Regions from separate parts of the Mus musculus genome. Here all the other regions are reported to be linked to region 4. Evidence: microRNA targets listed by miRTarBase, many of them from high-throughput screens and not tested one by one. Region 4 holds a microRNA gene; each other region holds the end of a gene's coding sequence.

What was found. The annotated mature microRNA mmu-miR-495-3p reads AAACAAACAUGGUGCACUUCUU and lies in region 4 at 1,551-1,572, opposite strand. An mRNA with a match to its seed (bases 2 to 7 or 8) in the 3' UTR can be bound and repressed. Matches are read on the target gene's strand: a 7mer-m8 pairs with bases 2 to 8, a 7mer-A1 pairs with bases 2 to 7 and ends in A, and an 8mer does both.
Region 1: the mRNA of Adamts5 is a reported target of mmu-miR-495-3p. Seed matches in the 3' UTR shown: 7mer-m8 at 1,307-1,313, 7mer-m8 at 646-652, 7mer-m8 at 642-648, 7mer-m8 at 638-644, 7mer-m8 at 634-640 and 7mer-m8 at 630-636.
Region 2: the mRNA of Elavl1 is a reported target of mmu-miR-495-3p. Seed matches in the 3' UTR shown: 7mer-A1 at 2,521-2,527 and 7mer-m8 at 1,418-1,424.
Region 3: the mRNA of Preb is a reported target of mmu-miR-495-3p. The part of its 3' UTR that is shown has no 7-base or 8-base seed match.
Region 5: the mRNA of Bend4 is a reported target of mmu-miR-495-3p. Seed matches in the 3' UTR shown: 7mer-m8 at 1,010-1,016, 7mer-m8 at 1,006-1,012, 7mer-m8 at 1,002-1,008 and 7mer-m8 at 998-1,004.
Region 6: miRTarBase lists Gpr12 as a target of mmu-miR-495-3p. Seed matches in the 3' UTR shown: 7mer-m8 at 598-604, 7mer-m8 at 602-608, 7mer-m8 at 614-620 and 7mer-m8 at 618-624.
Region 7: the mRNA of Nlgn2 is a reported target of mmu-miR-495-3p. Seed matches in the 3' UTR shown: 7mer-m8 at 853-859, 7mer-m8 at 928-934, 7mer-m8 at 932-938, 7mer-m8 at 936-942 and 7mer-m8 at 940-946.

The regions. Positions count from the first base shown.
Region 1 is chr16:85,860,208-85,863,288 of GRCm38, forward strand. It overlaps Adamts5 (a disintegrin-like and metallopeptidase (reprolysin type) with thrombospondin type 1 motif, 5 (aggrecanase-2)), which reads right to left. Exons shown (of 8, transcript NM_011782.2): 8 at 1-2,970. The coding sequence ends at 2,403. Among named protein-coding and RNA genes, the nearest start is that of Gm46558, 38 kb to the right of the region's middle.
Region 2 is chr8:4,286,973-4,290,053 of GRCm38, forward strand. Elavl1 (ELAV (embryonic lethal, abnormal vision)-like 1 (Hu antigen R)) reads right to left here. Exons shown (of 6, transcript NM_010485.3): 6 at 1-2,952. The coding sequence ends at 2,628. Among named protein-coding and RNA genes, the nearest start is that of Timm44, 13 kb to the left of the region's middle.
Region 3 is chr5:30,952,858-30,955,938 of GRCm38, forward strand. Preb (prolactin regulatory element binding) reads right to left here. Exons shown (of 9, transcript NM_016703.3): 8 at 3,073-3,081; 9 at 1-2,880. The coding sequence ends at 2,786. It also overlaps the pseudogene Abhd1. Among named protein-coding and RNA genes, the nearest start is that of Preb, 5.9 kb to the right of the region's middle.
Region 4 is chr12:109,717,286-109,720,366 of GRCm38, reverse strand. It overlaps Mir495 (microRNA 495), which reads right to left and starts at 1,613; the gene lies at 1,551-1,613. Mir543 (microRNA 543) reads right to left here; the gene lies at 3,034-3,081. Mir667 (microRNA 667) reads right to left here and starts at 361; the gene lies at 270-361.
Region 5 is chr5:67,395,711-67,398,791 of GRCm38, forward strand. Bend4 (BEN domain containing 4) reads right to left here. Exons shown (of 5, transcript NM_001164806.1): 5 at 1-2,740. The coding sequence ends at 2,526. Among named protein-coding and RNA genes, the nearest start is that of Gm33345, 8.2 kb to the right of the region's middle.
Region 6 is chr5:146,580,398-146,583,470 of GRCm38, reverse strand. Gpr12 (G-protein coupled receptor 12) reads left to right here. Exons shown (of 2, transcript NM_001359056.1): 2 at 1-1,321. The coding sequence ends at 365. Among named protein-coding and RNA genes, the nearest start is that of Gpr12, 3.3 kb to the left of the region's middle.
Region 7 is chr11:69,822,641-69,825,717 of GRCm38, reverse strand. It overlaps Nlgn2 (neuroligin 2), which reads left to right. Exons shown (of 8, transcript NM_001364137.1): 8 at 1-2,595. The coding sequence ends at 515. Among named protein-coding and RNA genes, the nearest start is that of Spem1, 2.0 kb to the right of the region's middle.

The DNA.
Region 1 (3,081 bases), not on the chromosome of region 4:
TCTTTCCCTCTGTGACACTTCAGATTTCTGACTCTCAGTTTGCTGTGTTTCTTTCCTCAGGAGATTTATATACATTCCCCTGTCAATGTAGGAATAGTCTTTTTAAAACATAAAGAAAATCCCTCTAGACATAGATTAGTGGTTTATCCGTTTACCCTCCTTAGGATGATTTCAGTGTGAAGTATAAAACTCGATTATTATAGGGAAAGTAACCCAGTGAAAATATTATTAAAAAAAACTATGATGATCATAGAGGGAAGCAGAGTAGGAGATAATCACATTTACTCTTCATTTATTTTTTTTAATATAACCACAACAAAAAACAAAATAAGAATTTTGTCAAATTGGAACTACTTGGCTTATATTGTTTTTAGAAATTGGAGAAAGTTGCATTATACTATTTATTCTCTCTGTACAGTTAAATAAGCAACGTGAGATTTAATTTTTTGTCTTATGACCAATTTGACTAAATGAACTCCCTGCTCTATATTTGGAGACCTGCACCCAATATAGGCTACAAGTTCTGTATAGTCTGCATTTCTTGATGTAAAAAGACCAGGCTGTGAGAAGCCAATGGATGATGACTGGTTTGGGAGGGCATTGGTCTGTTTCACAAAATAATCTCTTAAAACAAACAAACAAACAAACAAACCTAAGTAGGATTGCATTCTTTTTCTGTCCCACTGAAATCAATGTGATATGGAGTCATCAATTACATAGTTATTTATATTAAAATATCCTATAATAAAAATAAACTCTCATACATTTAGTGGAATTCCAGAGAGGATTTCTCAAAATCCTTCTATGCAAATCTTTCACAGTAGGCACATTTGGTATGGTCACTATAGAATTTGTGTAAAACAATTTACTTTGCAGATTTTTACGAAGAAAAAAGAAATGCCAGTGGAATAAAACCACGTCATATTATTTGAATTATCGGAGGGGGGCCTTTCAGTGAGTAGTTAAAGGAGATTATGATTATCATTAAGCGTGTGCGACCTTCTTGTGCAGGTAAAAGACTTCCTGAAACCACTTATATTCCATCACTTACATACTCACTGGTAGAGACAAACGCCTTCTGAGAGCAGAAATTCTCTAATACAGCAGACATATGCTTATATTTTGTAAATTATGAGATAATTGCCTATGGTGTGGAAACAGTCTTTTAAGTGCTAACTAGTTTGGTTTCTTGAATTAGTTGAACTGATCCGATTGCTCGTTCAAGATGAGGCTAAATACGAAATGATTTTAATATTACTGTTAGACCCAGCCAATACAGAACATACATCTTCCCACCCTCAGGAAAAACAAACAAGCAACCACAAACACATTTTAAACCCTGGCTGAGCAGAGGTGAGCCATTACTGCGGAAGCTGGATGTGACAGACAGCTTGCGGCTCTGCGTGTTCTCTATGATCCCTACACACTGTGAGATATGAACCAGGAGCCATAGAAAAGGAAGCAGTTGTGAAAATACAAATTGAAAACACAGTGACATATTTCTTTTTGTTGTTGTTGTTTTAAATTCCAATACAAGCAAGCTAACTTTTAGACCCTTGGATATTGATCACATATACACAGGAAAACACAGTTTCTACACCCAAATGATACAATAACTTGGCTTGGCTGCCTGAAAAATATACAGACCGTCAAACTCTAGAGTACACAGAACTGAATATGTGTTTAAATGACCAGACACACGCAGATCCTTTCCCTTTTTAGAACTTCACAGAAGGTGCTTGCTGTCAAAATGGTTTCTTTCTTTTTCTTTTCTTTTTCTTTTTTTTCTTTTTTTTTTTTTTTTGACTAAAATGTTATCTCCTGCAGGCTGACAATATACAAAGTTTTATTTAACAGCAGCAAGTTCTTAATTTCCAGTAAATCTTCTTCAGCTCTTTCTGGAAAATAGTAGTTGAAATAGCTGCAGACCTACTTTGGTCAAATATATATATTGTATTTACACATGTGTATATATTAATAGGACCAAGTTTATAAAGTGACATACTAAGGGCGGATGCATTTACAAACAGTAAAAATAAGCTGTGTGTCATGGCTGAACATGATCACGATGTCTTTGAAGACATTCTATAAGAGGTAGGTGACAAGACTTCTCTGCCATCTTCAAATGTCCCCGATTCTACATTCATCATTGTGTGTCTCCTTTGTGTAGGCCCAGGGATGTTCCATGACCCTCACGTTTTCTTTATTCCAAGGTCACCATCATTACACCAAGTAGAGTAAACCTTTTGGTCGCAGAGAGCAGATTCTGCCCATAATTCGACTCGTGGTGACAATGACATGAAGGCATGACTTTCTGTGCTTTGGGTAGGCCTTGTCTTCACCACAGCTGTATCTGCGATGATCCTCCTGTTGTTTTTTTGTGCATTAGAGTAAACCACAGGCTAACATTTCTTCAGCAGACATTGCTTAAATGCAGAAGGCCTCTGAGAGAGAAGGCATCCTTTAGCTAATTTCCTGTTTCCATCCTGGCACTGCACGGTCCTAGTGTGCCAGCCTGTGTCACAGGTCCTGGAGCAGGCCAGCCATGGACCTGTCACCCACTGCAGCTGTGTAGAGTGTGGTCCCACCTTGTTGCTGCCATGGCTGATGACAGAGTTTACTTTTTGAGTGGTCTTCTTGGGAACAAAAAAGCTGTAACGGACGTCTAGCGCTTTAGTTGGGTCTGTGGCAAGGATCTGCACGATCAGGATTTCTTTTGTGGCTGAATAGCCCATCCCATGTAAAAAATCATCTCTGTGGCTCCATCCACTGTAGTTCATGACGGTACCATTGATGTCGATGATGGTCTCTGAAGTGGAAATCATGTACTTGCCATTGATAAGGTACTCGCCAGTTTTCTTCTTCAGGGCTAAGTAGGCAGTGAATCTAGTCTGGTCTTTGGCTTTGAACTGTCGGACTTTTATGTGGGTTGCTCCTTCAGGGATCCTCACAACGTCAGTATAACCCTTGCTGTAGGCCAGGGTGTCCAGGTGAAAGGTTGGAAAAAGAAGGGGGCAGTGAGATAGAATTAGCATATGGCTATACATGGATAAACAAATAGAACTACTCTAAAAGTTTTCC
Region 2 (3,081 bases), not on the chromosome of region 4:
AAACAAAAAAAACCCCTTTCTCTTGGGTTGTGACTTTTCCTCCAATGCTGGGGACAGAGCTCAGGGCTGCCCTCATGCTGGGCAAGTGCTTTAATCTCTGAGCTACACACACGTCTGGGTTCTGTATTTCTGCCCAGCCTGACTAGCTGTCATGAACGCGTCCAGGGCCAGGACCTAGTCCTTTCATAGAATGAAAACTGCTTTCAGGAATGCCTTTTCAAAGCTACTTTCTTCTAGACACTGACAAAGAAAGCTCATCAAGGAATGCACTGGGACTTTTATCTAGAGTGCTACCCAGACAGTGGAGACCACACAGAAAGAAAATGTCGAACTTGAAGTGACCTCCAGAAGCTGGTGACATTTCCCCCAGTTCCTCTCAGAGTTACTATGGAGTAAACAGGTGTTGGGTGGTAGGGATGGTATAGTGATTAAGGTGCTAGCTCTGAGCACCAGGTCCTTTAAAGACACAGTCTCTTTCAGGTGTGGAATACAAAGGCTACACGACTGAGGAGAATCCCACCTCCACTCAGAAGAATGCTGGCTAAGAAACTAGAAATGCGTATTTTATCACAACATTTTGGTCCCACGGGGAGGTGCACTCTGCACCCTCAAAGCAGAGGACCCCTCTCCTTTTTTGGTCAGATCTGGGCATATGAGCCTTTGGTTCTGGGTTTCAGGCCCTATAGGCTGGGAATTATGGGATGGAATGAGGTACTGAGCAGCACTTGACTCACTTAGGGTGGGACAAAGCCTGAGTACATGAGACAACCTCACCAATGGTAGAGAACACTGCAACGAGCCTCCAGGGAAGTCAGGAAAAGGAGGCGGGGGAGGGAACAGGCAGCCTCAATTTGTACATGGGCTTCTTGATACACTGACCTACTTTAGAGATGGCTGTGCTTTTTGCTCAGTTTTCCACTTAAGTAAATGAAACAAAATAGCTATATGTATATATATATGTATATATAACTAAACAGATATGTGTAAATAATGCTATCATACCATGATATCAAGAACTAAATACTAGCCTGCTGTTATACACTCCAGGCTTACATCAAAGTGAAGAGCTGCCAGTAACTGCACTAGCCTGTTCTCATTCTCTCCACATACTAATAAACATCAGAACAGTCCTGAGGGCTGTAGGGGTCAGGCCTCATGTGCTCTTCCCTTCCCTTTGACCTTTCCTACCAGCTCCTGAGTTAAGAACCATTGATCCATAGCTGTATTTCTTATACCATAGCTCCAGAAATGTTTTTTAAACTTGAGGCAAGTGTTTAAGGTCTGACAGACTCCTCCCTGAATGCTGGGCTGTCTGTGCCCTTCCCTAGCCAAAAAAGAAAGAAAAGGTAAAACAAAAAACAAAACAAAACTCGAGCAAAACAAAATCAAATTTAATGGTCTTAAATGCAAAAGTAAAAACAAACAAAAAACACAAAAAAGCAAAAGAAAATTAACAGAACAGAACCCCAAACGTCAAGGCAGTTATGAAGAGAACTTTGAGGGTTAATCCTTAAAACTACAAATCAAAGGATTTTGTTAATAGATAACTGGCAAGAAGTACTTTTCTGCTGAGTGTCCATACAAAAGCAAAATTTCAAAGCAAAATCTGACTAAGATTGGAAAAAGTCTAGTGCTCACAAGAAGGGATGCGAGAAAATACAATGCTCAAATGTTTCTGTGTCATTAAAAACAGAGCAATCGTTGTGCATTCAAGCTAGGTTAAATGGTCTTGGAAACTCGGGAAGTTGCATGAACAACAGTATCTGATGTGTGGGCACCATGCATGCAATGTGTGGACAGACGCTCAGGATGTCAGAGGAGTGGGGCATCTTCAGGCATGCCTGGAGCTCAGGTTTGACTCTGGAATATACTGGAGCTGCCCTGAAACTCTTTGGTCCGTTCTCATTGGTGCCTGGGCTTACAAAACACCTTTTGTGTCTCTGGAGGGCCTGGCTCAGCCCAACATGTGGAACCTCTTCCCATCTCCCCTTGTGGGAGCCCCAGAATATGGGCCCTGCTGCTGCTCCCAACACTATAGAGCTGGGACTGAGTGGGCAGGGGGCAGCAGTGGGACTGCTGGGGAGGGCAAATTTCCTGTCACCTAAAGCAGAAATTGTTTAAAATAGTGAAGCAGTTGAGAAAAAACACACTCCCCATCTGTCTAACATCTTTAGGTTAAAAACTAAAACAAAGAAATTAAAAAAAAATTTTTTTTGTTTTGTTTTAAATCCAGTCTGTGGAGACATCAGATGAAACAGGTGTTAGACAGTCTTAGAAGTAAAAGCATGCTTCAGTCCCACCACCGTCCAGAGTGACTGGTTAGTCAGCGCAGTCTACTTCGGTTTCACTTTAATATATACTTTAAAGGAAATAACTTAAGAAACTTAAAATTGGTCTAACATTTGTGGGATTTCAAGCATTTGAACATGTCGGTTGCATCCCAGAGTATAAAAACCTTTGCACTTCTCATTTAGACTAAGACAAACACTTGTGAAAATTGGCGCAAAATGAGTTGTACACTAACAAAAAAGTTTCAACTTCTTCACTCTTAATTATCTATTCCGTACAAAAAAAGAAAAAAGAAAAGGAAAAAAAAAAGAAGGAAAGAAAAAAAAAGCATGAGCGAGTTATTTGTGGGACTTGTTGGTTTTGAAGGAAACCTGTAAAATTTTGTCCCCCAGGCGGTAGCCGTTCAGACTTGCTATGGCCATTGCAGCTTCTTCATAGTTTGTCATGGTCACAAAACCAAACCCTTTGCACTTGTTGGTGTTGAAATCACGAATCACTTTCACATTGGTAACTGCACCAAAGGGGCCAAACATCTGCCAGAGGATCCCCTCATCGGCGTCTTGCCCAAGGTTGTAGATGAAGATGCACCAGCCCGAGGAAGCATTGCCGGGGACATTGACACCAGAAATCCCACTCATGTGATCTACACCCATAGGGGAGAACCTAGCAAACAGAGAGCACATGTTCAGGTCAAGGTTAAGGCCAGCAGTGTACCTGCACAATGGGGTAAGAAGTAGGATGGAGAGGGCCAAGATGTAAGGACACTTGGGCCTCTCATGCAGCCAGCACCTC
Region 3 (3,081 bases), not on the chromosome of region 4:
AGAGGCCAATGTGTTGTATGATTATAGAGGCCTCGTCTGGTGGCTGGGCCCCAGTTTCTGGCCTTCCTGGAACAACACTGTCCAGTCACTGTGGAGACTTTCTACCCGACACTGTGGTGCTTTGAGGGACGGCTGCAAACCATCTTCCGAGTCCTCCTGCAGTCTCAGCCTGTGGTCCCTTACCGGAGGTAAGAAGGGTCAGGACCAGGAACACAAAGCTGCAAGTCTCTATGGTCCACCTCTTTATATGACGGTAATCTTTGTCCCAAAGCATGAGCCTATATGTATGGAAAGGCTCTCTACTTGCACCCACACAAGGTTAATAGTCCAATCTAGCTGGTCACCTTGCTGTTTTATATGAAGCGTGCCTTCAAGTGATACCCATGACAAACAGCAGAGCTTGTGGGCGAGTCAGAGGGTAGAGCTTTGACATGCAGAAGTGCAACTCCTAATAACATCTTTGTGTTGCAATCTCTAAACCCCAGTGAAGTCCTCCAGACCCCAGATGGAGGCCAGTTCCTTCTAGACTGGGCCGAGCAGCCTAACAGCACTCACTACCCGGACCCTACCACCCAGCCCATAGTACTGCTGCTTCCAGGCATCAGCGGCAGTAGCCAGGAGCCGTACATCTTACACCTAGTTAACCAAGCTCTGAAGGATGGCTATAGGTAAGGACAGGGTACAGAACTTGGGAAGGGCAAAAGTACATCTGACCCTGATATGGTACTCTCTGACAGGGGCCTTTCTGAAGACTATCAAGGGGAGGGTCTTCTTGGGAGGGCTTGGCTCACACTCCTATCTTGCCCCAGGGCTGTTGTATTTAATAACCGAGGATGCCGAGGGGAAGAGCTGCTGGTGAGTACCCTCCTCCTTTGTGGTGGCCCTGTCCCTGTTCCCTTTAGAGACCACTGGCCCTAGGGCTCTACCTACTTACCAACCCCCTACCCTTCCTGAGCCCTTCCGCTTGGCTGTCTTCTGGCAAGAGCCTCCCTCCCTAGTCAATGACCCGCTTTGCCCTCAGACTCACAGGGCTTACTGTGCCAGCAATACTGAAGACCTAGAAACAGTTGTGAAGCACATAAAACGTCGCTACTCCCAAGCTCCACTGCTGGCTGTGGGCATCTCTTTTGGAGGGTAATAGTTGCCTGGGTTTGTTCATCTTGTCTTTTTCTCCTCTTCTGTCCCAGTGTTCCCATGCCAACACTTTCCATGGCCCTGCATCCAATTTTACAGGATACTGGTGCTTAACTATCTGGCACAGACTGGGAAGGCTGGAGGCTTGGTCGCAGGACTGACCATTGTCTGCATGTTGGGATTCCTTTGAGACCGTTGACTCCTTGGAGACCCCACTCAACTCACTGCTCTTCAATCAGCCACTCACTGCTGGACTCTGCCGGCTTGTGGCCAGGTAGGATAGCAGATGGCAGGCTCTGCCAGTGCTTGGGTCCATTCCAATCTGGGCTTTCTTGAGGAGGTAAGAAGACAGAAGCTGTGAGCTCTGGGTTAGGTGCAGGAGTTCAGACAAACCCTGATGTATTCTTTTCCAGGAACCGAAAGCCAATTGAAAAGGTGTTGGATGTAGACTTTGCGATAAAGGTATCTTTCGATCACCCTCTCACCCCAGTGTTGGTCTCCTACGTTCTAATATTATAGCCTACCATGCCTCTACCACACAGGCCCGCACGATCCGCCAGCTGGATGAGCGCTACACATCTGTGGCTTTTGGGTATAAAGACTGTGCGGCTTATTACCAAGCCGCAAGCCCAAGAACCAAGGTAGATGCCATCCACACCCCTGTTCTCTGCCTCAATGCAGCAGATGACCCCTTCTCCCCAGTCCATGGTGAGTGCCTGCAACGAGGTCCTGATCCCACAGCTACTGAGCCATAGATGAGGGTTGAGGTATGAGCCTGGGTTCTCATTCCCGGACAGCTTTCTGACCTCCTGACTCCCTTCTAGCCTTCCCTCTGCAGGCTGCCCAGAAGTCTCCCTATGTGGCCCTGCTCATCACAGCTCGGGGTGGCCACATTGGCTTCCTGGAAGGGCTGATGCCCTGGCAACACTGTTACATGAACCGCGTACTACATCAGTATGCCCGAGCCATCTTCCAGCACTCAGTGGGGCTACCTGACCTGGGAGTACTCACTCCTGAAGATGGAAAGAGCTGACAAGAGGACTGCTGGGCTCTCGGTTCAATTGTTCTCTCTTTATTAAATATCAACTCTTCCTGCCTAACGAGCTGAGGTTCCCTTTCCTCAGGCTGCAGTAGACCCTCCAGGAACTCACTATGTGTCTGGACTGACTGGCTTGGTGCTACCCACAGAAGGCCACAGATCACCGCTACCGGGGTCCTCTTTGTGCCTCTTCCTACCCTAACAGCAAGTGCCAGCACAGGCTCTGTCTCAACAAAGCCAAGGCCCTTGTGTGAAGGCTGGAGGGGAGGAGGAGAAACAGTTTCTGTAGGAAGGATGGCAATGTCTCCAGGCTCTTGGGCATCTTCACATGCTTCTAGAAAAGGAAGAGCTGAGCTCTGGAGCCCTGGGAGGGAGGCTGAGGGAACGAGGCAGGCACTGTGGCCTGAGCTTCAGACCACAATGTCTTAAGTGGATCCACAGGTGAAGGCAAGAGCTCCCAAGACCCAGAGTGATCGAGAGGCCACCGCCAAGTGTGAGCTGAGGGACAAGCAGTACCCATCAGTTTCATCAGATGCAGCTTCAGCCGTGGGGCTCAGTGATTCTGCTCTGGAAGGCGGCACTGTCCAAGGCTGATTCCCATCGCTCTAGAGGTTAGAGAAATCCCGGGAAGGCAGTCTGGAGCAGCAGGATGGTCACAATAATAAGGCCGACACACAGCAGGAGCAGAAGCCATACAGGAACACTCCCTGTGGGTAGGGCAAGGGAAGAAATGAGTGGGCAAAGATGCTTTGGAACTTGAAAACCAGAACCTTTAACCTCTTTCATTCAAGGAGGGGCAGGTAGATGGATAAAAACAGTCCATTTTCCAGGGGCCAATTTTTGCTATAGCTAAAGTGGTACCCTCCCTGCCAACACACACACACACAACAATGACTCACGCCGTGAAG
Region 4 (3,081 bases):
GGCTTCTCCTGTGAAAAAGACAGCTGGTGAGGTATTGTGCCCAGAGAATATTCTACCCTCAAAGATGGAAGGCTCCCTCTGGGCCTATACGTACCTGGGATGTAGGGGTGAATAGCAGCCCTTAGAAGCCTGCCAATAAAGCACAAAGCTAAATGTGAAATGGAACTGAACAAGTCCGGTTACCTTGGGATGACCACCAGAGGCATTTCTGTCCAGGTGTCCTTTGCATTCCTTGGATGAATCCAAGACAAACTCCCCTCCAGAAGTTTGTGGGCCTAGGGGCCTTGGGCTGGGTGGCAGGTGTCACAGATATAATGTATGGCGTGCTCACTGCTCCACCAGCACCGAGGCCAGTACCCACTAGATGGAAAGGGATTTTCAACCTAAGAAAATGGGTTGACCATGCTTGTTCCATGCCCCTTAGCCTTTCTCCATGGGTATAAAGGGAGAGTTGCTGCTTTTCCAAAGGTGTTTCCATCTTTTATAGGCAGAAGCCAAAACACAGGTACAGCCACAGCCCAAGGGCATCACTGAGCCAGTAGAAACTAAGAGCTAAGTGTGTGGCTAATCCTGGTACCTCTTAGATGGAGTTTGCACTGGGTTTTGATGCGCTATGGTTGTTGAGCCACGTAAGTATAAACAAAGCTTTTATTCCAACTTGAGCAAAGAAAGAAATAGCTAGTATCCTAGCAAAGGGTTGCCTAAGAGTGATCCCATATCTTGTACTGGCTCAGCTTCGGAAACCCTCCAGGGGAGATGGATGGATGAGGTGTTCTCATACTCTCTGGATTGTATCCTCCCTCCCACTCTCACAAGAGAGCCACCAAAGGGCCCTGCTCAAACAACCACACTCAAAGGCAATTTTGATGCCATGAGGAGGCTACCAGAGAATGTTAGCCATAAAGAGAAGTTCACTAGGGAAAAGGGGTCTGAAGTGCCGCCTTACATCTACCACTCCAGAGGGCAGGGGTACCAGTATCAGAGATAAGAGACAGGCAGCAGTGGCTGATGACAGCTTGCTGTTCCCTGGTCCCAATCGTAGCCAGCACCCACCAGTCCTCAAGGCCTTGCTAATGGCATCAAAGAGCACAGCCCGTAGACATGGCAGGATGCTGGTAAAGAGCTGATCTGGGGCCCAGGCTTTTCTAGAGTCATAGTGTTATGTGACACTCACCAACTGACATATCTTGGTAAAGACACCTGCAGCTGACATCTAGACACATGTCTCCAGAAGGAATTGGTGGTTTGGCTTGTATTGGCTGTTTGATTAAATTGCTATTGTTTGGATTTTATAATTTTCTGGGCTTCTCTTATCTGAACTCCATCCTACAACAGAGCCTAAAAGTGCGCTTCCTGGTTTCCCTTACTGACTGTGCCTGTCCCAGGAGGTGGGCATTCTGGACCTAACAATGCACAGAGCCAAGAGGGGCAGGTGAAATTGTGCTTCTTTGAGGTAAATGCCCCTGTGCACATGGTGACCCAAACCCCCTGGCCTCCCGTCCTCCCTCTGGTCCATGGGGAGCTCTCCAAGGTGAGATTTGATATCGAAAAAGAAGTGCACCATGTTTGTTTCGTCACAAATAAAAGCGAAAAATAACATGGGCAACTTCTTTTCAGGTACCACGGCTGAGCTCTTGCTTGTTCCAGCAGTGTGCCTGAGTGTGAAGGGATGCTGAGGGACAGGCGGAAGGAAGGGATGGTGGGTGAGGCAGATACTTGGCCGGGAGGGGGACAGGGATGGGGGTCCTGAGGCAAGGGGAGTGGCTCAGTACTCATCACTGCCATAGCAATCCAGCCCAAACCCCCTCTACCTCAGGATCTCAGGAAGACCTGGGACGAAGACTGAAGATTCTGAGATGTTGCCTACCATCCTTGCCAGTCATTCTGAAGTGTCACTCGGGGGAAATGGGATGGTGCCAAACTCCAAGACAGAATCTCCTCTCTCAGTTCCAGGATCCTCTTCTGAAGCTGAGAAAAAAAAAAAAAGTCAAAGAACTAGGTGGCAAAATCCAGGGCAGCCTAAACCAGCTGTGTGAGTGCCTGGATGATGCCCTCTGAGGTCCCCCCTCTCCCGCACCCAGAAGTGACTTACGATGTAGACAAATACAACAAAGAGCTCACAGGGTACTGGGAAGCAGAAGAACAGGTTGAAATGGGAGGCTCCAGGATTCTGAGCGTGTGAGATGTCTGGGGATGCAATGTCCGTTCATCATCTTGCGGCTGTCCTGAACGGGACATATGACCGACCCTTCCCTGAAAACAAAACGCATTGATTAGTGTGTGTTACCGTTACTGGAAGGTTACAACACTACAGCAATATATCTGAACCACAAAGGAAAGTGACTTGGTACCAACTACCTACCTTAGACTGGACAATGGGAATAATGAGCAAGAGAACATACCATCCAAAGAATGCCAGTTACACTCATTGACAGGCCACTCAACAAGGAGCCATCCATTCCTCTCATAGTAAGGAAAGGCCCACCTCAAGCTGACTTACACACAAAGGAGGCATCCAGGCTAATATAACTTAAAGGTACAGTGACGTGTTGAGCTTCAAGGAGTGTCGGATGCAGGTCCCAGATTGTACTGTTACTCAAATGTCCCATGGTTCCTCTGGGACAGGCACTTCCCCCTCTGTCTAAACAGCCCTGGGTACTGTCCTCTTGAATTCTAGCTGGCCTTCAAACTCAGGGAACAGTGAGATCCACTCAGACATCTCTCACAGAAATGAAGACTCATTCCCCTCCCAGAAGTCTCAGCAAACATCTCCCTGTGGGCTAAGGTCTCATCTAGGAATCAATAATGTCTGGTCAACTGGTTCCTTTGACACTGTGTTGTGGAGGAGGGAGGAGGGAGCAGGAGCCAACCAACCCAAACCCATTCTCATTAAGAAAGGTCAGAGGACCATTCAAGAAGGGAGATAAACTCACACAACCCAGGCTCACTACATAGACTACTTTCCTAGACTAACATGGCTTCCCTGAAGTCAGTAAGTAGTTGAACCCCCGAAGTCTTCAACGTAGAATAGGATGCTGAAAAAGAAGTGCACCGCGAATGTTTCGTCACATATAAAGCGAA
Region 5 (3,081 bases), not on the chromosome of region 4:
AGAAGGCTGAAACAATCCTAAGTGTTTGACTGCTGGTATCAGGTGGTAAACTAAGCTGAAGAAAACAGCAATCACATAAGCAGGCAGAAAAAAGGGACACTTGACTAGGCTAATTCTAGGCCCTCATGTAATTACATGTGAGAACTGCTACGGCGGAGGTCAGCATTGTAGTCCTTAGTTTCCACATATGCACAACAGCTAGGTTCCCGACACTGGAGATTTCCTAGGCCAGACTTCCCAGACCTTGGATCACACACAAGAAACACCCCTTTCAACATCATATTGAACGAATGCTCCAGATGTAATTGACAACAGCTCATCAGTAGTCCACTGCACTTCTTATTATTATCATCCAGACCTTGCAATACAGTACAGGAAGCAGCGGGTGCCCTCTGCACATCTGAAGCAAGTGGCAAGAACCCTTGGTGTAGGTGTACCCACAAATGATTTAGATACCCCCTTCCTTAAAGCTACATTTGATAGTGAAGGTGATACAGGCTCTTAGTCAACTAAAGCTAATGTCCGCCTATGCAGAGATGACAATTAGAAGCTGCATTGACAAAGGCTTGTCCCAGGGCATGATGCTACCCAGAGTTGGTGTTGAGATCAGAGCCTTTAAAGAGGTGGAGGAGGAACTCAGGCCTCTCCATGGGGACTGTCTGATTCCTTATGCTAAGGCTCTAAGGCCCTGAGGCTAGCTCCTGCTAACTTCCCAAACTTAATGTAAAAGTTGCAAACTCGTGGAAGAGAAAACTCGATGGATCATTTAAAGACTACAAGACAACCAAGGGAAGCTTGTCCAAGCTTACTGACTAAATAAACCACCAAAGAGAGGAACGGGACTCAGCAGAGCAGATAAACAGCAGTATGAGAAGTCTTCGGTGCTACAGATGAGGATTTTAACAAGATGATAGTGAGTGCCCCAGACCAGCAAGAAGCTATCAACATTAATGCTATCCTGGATGTTATCCGGAGACAGTTTTTATAGTTAGGAAAAAACAAACAAACAAACAAACAACCCTTTCTCTTGGACAGCCAAAGACACTGGTCTTGGGTCCACTGTAAATGACAGCTCATTTACCCATTTAATTTCTTTTACTTCTAAACTGTTCAGCTGATTTGTTCAATATTTGCTAAATATTGAATCTAAAGGATGCGTGATTATTCTGACAAAACTGGCCTCCCCAAAAGTCCTTTCTAAACGGATACTCACAGTCTGAATTTCTACCCCATTTTCAAAGCTCTTTGCTGTGTTTGTAGATGACACTCATAATTTTCACAAACGCTGCCCATTTAGCTTTTGGTTCCACAAAGAACATAGTAATCTTGATTTGTTTAATAAAGCCAGTGTTCTCCGCAGGTCCAAAGCGTAATCTCCATCAGTAACAATTATAGCACCTCTGTAGCCTTTACTAGGAAGTGGTTCCCAGGGCATCACTAACCTCACATACGGATTCCACAAATTAAGCAGGGAAGCAGAAGGGTAACTCAGAGCTTAGACCGAGGAGGATGTGCACAGCTGGATGGGGCGTTTTCATCCATGACAATGGGAAACAGAAGTTTTATATATGCTAAACCTTCACTCAGCCCAGCAAAGGCCTCAAATTTCAGAGAAATCACCCACCAGCCATTGCATAGTTGTCAGAACGGCCTTGACGCTCCACGTCTACAATACCAGACCCCTGATCAACAGCAGATGCCGTCGTTCATGCCCTGCGTTTGATCTTACTCAACAGCCAGCTTGTGGGAGTTCTCGCTGAACCCACCACCCCGGCACTGTGTCAACGAAGTATGACTTAAGGCTACGGAAGCTGTGCGTTAGGAACTTATGAAACGAGGCATTGGAAAATGGTTTTCAATCTTTGGATGTTTCCTAAAGATATAAAGAGAATCTCCTGCTTGTCAACCACAGCGAGGAGGTTGCCCTTCTGATGGACACAGTGAGTTCTGTCTGTAAGGTAACAGAAAAAGTAGCCGACGTCCACACCTACGCGCTCTCTATAGACATGGCCTCTGTTCTGGATTCTTCCCGTCAGCGTTTAAAACGGATGGAGGCTTACAGTGTCACCTAGCTTGTGTCTTTGCTGGGAACTCTGAAATGAAGTCTTAGGAAATCGAAGACAGCTTACTTGTTACAGTTGCTCGTCTTCCCTTCGCCCATGTGCAGGAACACTAACTGAGCCTTCCCTGGAGACCAGCTCTGCTCAGGGGGCCAGGCTTCCCTGAAGATCTGGGACTGGAGACACCCTCAATGCCTAGCTAGAAATGACTTCATGCCAAATGTACATTTTCCTCTGTGATATAACACACCCCAAATCTACTGCAGGTGCTAGAGATTTCCCCCCCGAAAATCCTAAAGTGGATTCCTGTTTGGGAACTGTGGCAGTGGGTCAAGAGTTTTAAGTCCGAGAATGTGTAAAGTGTGACGGAATTACATGCTTTGGACTCTAAGTGACATGGGAATGGACATTCACAACTGGAGCTCTTACACAAGAAACCACACAGCACTGGGACGATTGTGTCCACTAGTCCCCAGATCCGTCCTGTGTCTTGCTGAAGACCTCATCCTGGGAAGCCTGGTGATCCATCCCTTCATAAAACGAGCCACCGTTGTGCAGGAAAGTCCCCACGGCCCGCCCCTGTCGGGCATGACCTACAGCATCGCTGAACACTTTGTTTATCTGCTCCTCCGAGGGCATCCACCAATCAGGGTTTGAGGTACAGTGCATCCTAATGAATTCTGTGGGAACAGAAACAACAGTAAAGACGAGAGAGAAAACAGCTGGTTTTTGGACAGATGATACGAAGGCAGCTTAGCCTACACCAGAGGCAACTATCAGCGGAGTCACATGAAGGTCCCCAGCAATGCAATGACCGCACCACTCACTCCATCCAACCTACCCCACGCCAGTGTTCTCGTCAGCAAGGCCAAAGCTATTATCTACACTCTCTAGGGAATATTTGCTGCTGAAAAGAAAGTGTCTGCCCCAAGTGTCTTTACCCAGCTTTTTATATGGGTCATCTGAACTCAGACCCTCAAGCTTGCATTCTACTAACTGAGAATCACTTCCCCAGAAGGGA
Region 6 (3,073 bases), not on the chromosome of region 4:
TTCAGCTCTACATCCAGATTTGTAAGATTGTGATGAGGCACGCCCATCAGATAGCCCTGCAGCACCACTTCCTGGCTACATCGCACTATGTGACTACCCGGAAAGGGGTCTCGACCCTGGCTCTCATCCTAGGGACCTTTGCTGCCTGCTGGATGCCTTTCACCCTCTATTCCTTGATCGCCGATTACACCTACCCTTCGATCTATACCTATGCCACCCTCCTGCCCGCCACCTACAATTCCATCATCAACCCTGTCATTTACGCTTTCAGAAACCAAGAGATCCAGAAAGCCCTCTGCCTCATTTGCTGTGGGTGCATCCCTTCCTCGCTGTCTCAGAGAGCTCGGTCTCCCAGCGATGTGTAGCAGCCTTCTCCTCATAGGACGCTGCCTCTACCAAGCGCTCCCACCTCCCAGGGCGGCCAGTGATTTCCTTCCTTAAATTCTTTGCACTGGATCTCACAAGCAGAAGCAATGACATCTTTTAGACACGTATTGACAGTGGAAATCATCTTACCAGTGTTTTTTAAAAAAAAAACAAAACAAAACTCGACTTCTCGGCTCAGCATTCTGTTGTTTGGTTTGGGAGTTAGGATTTGTTTGTTTGTTTGCTTGTTTGTTTGTTTGGAGGGTGTAATGGGACCTCATGTGGCCATGAAATTATACAAAAGTCTCGGGATTTTTTAACCTAGGCTTGAAAATAAATCAAAGTTTTAAAGGAAACTGGAGAAGGAAATACTTTTTCTGAAGGAAATACTTTTTTTTTTTTAATCAAGGTAGATCTTCCATTCTGTATGTATCTAACAGGATAGGAGCTTTGCCATATAACCAAAATAGTTTATATAATTACATTTGGAAGGGCTTGTGTTTATTTCTAGGAATTCAGTAATAAGTGACCAGTAACAGAGGCGCGAACTCCTTTCTTTCCTTTCAGCAGTAGTGACTGCTCTTAAGAATCACTTTGCAGTTTCTCTGTGTTACAGTTTGGTATGCATGGTTACCTGTGGTAGTCAGATCACTAATTGCAATATTGCCATGTTAAACCCAGAATTAAAAGAGTCATTTTTTCTTCAATACAGTTTTTGAAATATCCTTTCCAAAGTGAGTCATGAAAAAAATGTTTCCAATTACATATGAGATAGCACTGGTTAGATTTGTCATTGTGATTTTTAAAACTCTAGACTGGTGGTTTTCAGAAAACAAAAGAGAAAATATTAACAGCATCTATTGAAAGAAGATTTTATTTATTTTTAATATATTCTGAGAGAATAAATGGTGTGATACTATTAAGAAATATACAAACATGACTTTTCAAATCTCTATCTATGGATACATTGTTATTCTTACTTAAGATGAGTAGAATTAAGTATTATAAATGGAAAATTTTCTCATTCTGTTGGTAGGGCAAATTGCATCTGAAGCAGGTGGTCTCCTACCTTAACAACTAGGTCTGAGGCACGCCCAGCTAACATGACTGGGGTGTACCAGCTGTGTCCTGTGTGCTCATGCAGGAATGACCATATGTCTGATGGTGAAAAGTTTAATTTCCTTTTACCAGAAGACATCCTCCATGCAACAAGGACTCTGCTGCCTGCTTTCAGAAAGCAAAGGTTTACCTGGGAAATTACTACAAGACGTGACTTAAAACACCATACAGAGTAATTATGTCCAAGTGTCATTTTCTGTGAAAGCAGACAGATGTAAGATACACTGTCCCTCAGTTTGCAATGGGCTCATGGCTGTGTCTATACAGGAAGTGGAAGAATTCCTGAATGGCACATCAAGACCAGTATTTCAGGATCCTTGGTGAGGGGTCATTTGTAATAGGTTCCCCTCAAAGGCTTGTCCCAATCAGTATTTTATGTATTTTATAGATATTATTTTATGTATATGAGTACACTGTAGCTGTACAGATGGTTGTGAGCTTTCATATAGTTGCTGGGAATTGAACTGAGGACCTCTGCTCGCTCTGGCCCAAAGATTTATTTATTATTATATCTAAGTACACTGTAGCTGTCTTCAGACAGCCCCAGAAGAGGACATCAGATCTCATTACAGATGGTTGTGAGCCACCATGTGGTTGCTGGGATTTGAACTCAGGACCTCTGGAAGAACAATCAGAGCTCTTAACCGCTGAGCCATCTCACCAGCCCCTGGCCATGATGATTTCAGGACCAGTCTTCAAAGCCTGCCTGCCAAACCCATTCCTCCAAAGTTGCTTCTCAAGTGGCTCAAGTGAGAAAGCATCTTATACTTGAATCTGTATCTCTTCTCTGAGGCTGCTCATGGCTGCATGAGAGGGATTGAAATACTGAAGAAGTAGGAAAGGATTTTCAGCCCTGTATGATCAACCCCAATCCAGCCAACAGCTTTAAAACATTTATTTTGAATACAATATGGGCGTGGTAAGAAAGAATAGGTTGAGTCTTTTTATTCATTAATTTAAATATCTTATTTATGTATTCATTTTACTTACAACTCACATAGATGTACATATGTGTGCAGGTGTCATGAGAGGCCACAGGTATCCAAATGGCCTGGAGCTGCAGTTACAGCTGGTTGTGAGCTGCCATGTGGATGTTGGGAATAGAACCTGGGTCTTCCACAACAGCAGTCAGTGCTCTTAACCACTGAGCCATCTCTCCAGCCCCAGTCATTTAGCTTAGACTTGAGCAGGAAACTCTCATAATGGGTCCTTAAAGCAACAGATGGCGCTTTATGGGATGGGAGCTCTCCTTTGCACATCTCTGCTAGGGGACACAGGAGTGCAGTCAGTTTTGCCTGGCCCACGTGTGCTCTCAACCCTGAACTTGCTGTTTTACTAGCTTTCCTTTCTTTCTTTTTTAAATGCAACTGTGAAAACACACATTTGTGGTGAGAAAACCGGAGCTCAGAGAGAGGTGAAGAAGCAGGCTGAGGCCTCTGAGAGAGCTGTAGGGTGAGGCTAGAACTGAAGGCAGGCTTTCCATTCTCCCTTCCCTGCCCCTCCATAATGTTGTCTTTGATCCCTTACTCCACAAAGAAAGCTGCCTTTGAACAGGTCGCTGTCACATAATCTGGGTTCTGTCATTAAG
Region 7 (3,077 bases), not on the chromosome of region 4:
TCCCCGGTGACTCGAGGGACTACTCCACGGAGCTAAGCGTGACTGTGGCAGTGGGTGCCTCCCTCCTCTTCCTCAACATCCTTGCCTTTGCCGCCCTCTATTACAAGCGGGACCGGCGCCAGGAGCTGCGGTGCCGGAGGCTTAGCCCACCAGGAGGCTCAGGCTCAGGTGTGCCTGGTGGGGGCCCCCTGCTTCCCACTGCTGGCCGTGAGCTACCCCCGGAGGAGGAGCTAGTATCGCTGCAGCTGAAGCGGGGTGGTGGTGTTGGGGCGGACCCTGCTGAGGCCCTGCGCCCTGCCTGTCCACCCGACTATACCCTGGCCTTGCGCCGGGCACCGGACGATGTGCCTCTCTTGGCCCCCGGGGCCCTAACCCTGCTGCCTAGTGGCCTGGGGCCCCCGCCCCCGCCCCCACCCCCTTCTCTCCATCCCTTTGGGCCCTTCCCACCCCCACCCCCTACTGCTACCAGCCACAACAACACGCTACCCCATCCCCACTCCACCACTCGGGTATAGGGGGCGGCTTTGGGAGGTCTGCCTCCCTAGCCCTCCCAGCCCAGGCCACTTGAAGGCAGGGAGGAGGACTTGGCACCGGGCTTTGCCCCCGTGGATTTGTCAGACTTCGTGGAGCAGTGTTAAGGTGGACATGGGATTCCTCACTGGGAAGAGAGTTTTTCCCATGCAGAGAGCCCCATTATCTCCTCTGGACCTGGGCCTTCGAACACCTGGGGGGTATTTTTTGCCCTCCGTTGGGACACCAGTCTTCGGTGTGTGGAAATGTGGAAGTCCTTTTGCCCATGTGAAGACATGCTTTCCTCAGGGGGGGGGGGTGTTTTCCCATGTGCAGGGTGAGGTTTGTTTGGTTTTTTTGTTTTTGGTTGGTTGGTTGGGTTTTTTTTTGTTTTTGTTTTATTCGGGGGGGGGGGTTGTTTGTTTGTTTGTTTGTTTTGCCGCCCTGGACACATGTTTGCCTCCTCCAAGAATTTCTGCGGGGATTTGTATCCCATGCCTTCGTCTTCTCCTCCCCGTCCAACTCCCTGGAGACCCTGGAAGTGATGTGTGCACATCCGGTGACCCTTGGCCACCAGACAATACAGGGAGGTACCTGGGGAGCAGCTAGGAAATCACAGGCCCCCTGGACCCCGCTCCCCACCCACCCCTGAATAGCATGTTTCTCCCCCATGGCACAAGGCAGGTGAAGCCCGTGCTCCCTGGAAGCCCTCACCTTCCACAGACAACAGAGATTTCCTGCTAGAGGAAAGGGGGAATCTCTGTGCATCCCAGCGCTGCCTGGAAACTTACCTTCCCACGGCCCAGGACGCATTTCATCGAATGGAAACATGTTCTTGCATGTGGATGTGTGTTTCCCAGGCAGAGGGTCCTGCGCCCCCCAGCACTCCCCTGCCCTCTCCCACACCTCAGGTCCAGCGCACACTTCCTCCTTGCATAGCAGGTGGGAGCAGACTTCTAATGGACAGAAGCCACGTGGGAAGTAGAGACTTGGAGGGAGACGCCGAGGTGGGAGGATGGGGGGCATGGCACATGTCACACAAGAGGCCATGCATGTTTAACCTAAGCCCTCAAGGGGGCCTGAGGACAGCCTTTTCCTCAGTCCTTGAGATCATTGCTCATCCGTGCCAAACTGGGTAGATGGGTTGGGAGACTCTCAAAATGTGCCAAGGATCCCCTACGTTCTAGTCCAGGGAAGGGAAACGCCAGGAGCAGGTGGCAGCTAAGGTGGTCCCCCGCAACCCTCCCACTTGTGTCTCACCCCCATGTCATTTCTCCTTCTCTGCCTTGGTTCCTCTTTCTCCATCACTGGCTCCTTCTTTGATGCTCTCTCCCCATCTCAGGGTCAGACCAGCCTTCTCTCTTTACCTTCTTTAACCTGTCTCCCCTCCCTGGTTGGTTGAGTTGAAGAAGAAGAAAGAAAGCTGAGGAGAGGGGGAAGGGAGGAGTCAGGGAAAAAGGTTACATGGACAGGCTGGGGAAGAGAATGAGGTCAGCCGTACCAAGGAGCAGATGGAGGGGCTGTGGGGGACAGGGCAGACACCAGCAGGAAGATTTTGAAAGGAAATATGGGGAGCAGCTGCCTAGAGGTCTTTGGATTTGGACCTCTTGGGGAAAAGAACGCTGTCAGGAAGGGTTTTAAGGGACACCAGTGGAGGTGTGGCTGAATCTTCATGTATTGTTTGGCTTTCTGAGGGATGTTAGTGCCAAACTTGTATAGGAGTGGGGTGCTGTCTTCCACTGACACCCAGGTCCAGAATCCTTGGTCTTGAGCCCCTGTCCTTTCTCCATCCCCCATGGAAATGTAGTTCTTTTCTGGCCCTTTCCCCTGCCTGGTCTAGCAACTCTTGGAACAGCCATGCCTTCCAAAAGCTATCAACCTGGGCCCTGAGCCCTGTAAGCAGATGCCCCAGAGCTGGGGTGTGAGAGAGGGGCTGGGGGACCCCACGATACAGCCACGGACTCCAATGCCCGGCCCCTTTCCAAATAATCCCATGCCCCCACCCCAACCCTTTGCGGCTCTGTACACATTTTTAAACCTGGCAAAAGATGAAGAGAATATTGTAAATATAAAAGTTTAACTGTTGGTTGTGTTGTCTCCTGTCGTGTTAGAAGGTAGGTGGAGGGTGGAGAGGGTACCCAGCTCTGGTTGTACCTGTCTTGTTAGAAGGGGGTGGGAAGAAGTGCCCAACCCTTTTCAGAAAATAACTCTTAAGATCTGAGGAGAAATGGCAAAGGGAAAAGTCTCCATCCTGACGGGATTGGATGGTTAAGATAGAGACCAGGATGGGATTGGATGGTTAACATAGAGACCAGGATGGACAAATAGTCAGAAACACTTATAATCATAGCATTCAGGCCACTGCGGGGGGTGGGGTGGGGCAGGAACTCAAGACCAGCCTGAGCTAAATACGAGATCCCATCTTTAAAATAAAAGTGCTGGCTGGGCAGTGTTGGCACATGCCTTTAATCCCAGCACACGGGAGGCAGAGGCAGGCTGATCTCTTGAGTTTGAGGCCAGCCTGGTCTACAAAGTGAGTTCCAGGACAGCCAGGGATACACAGAGAA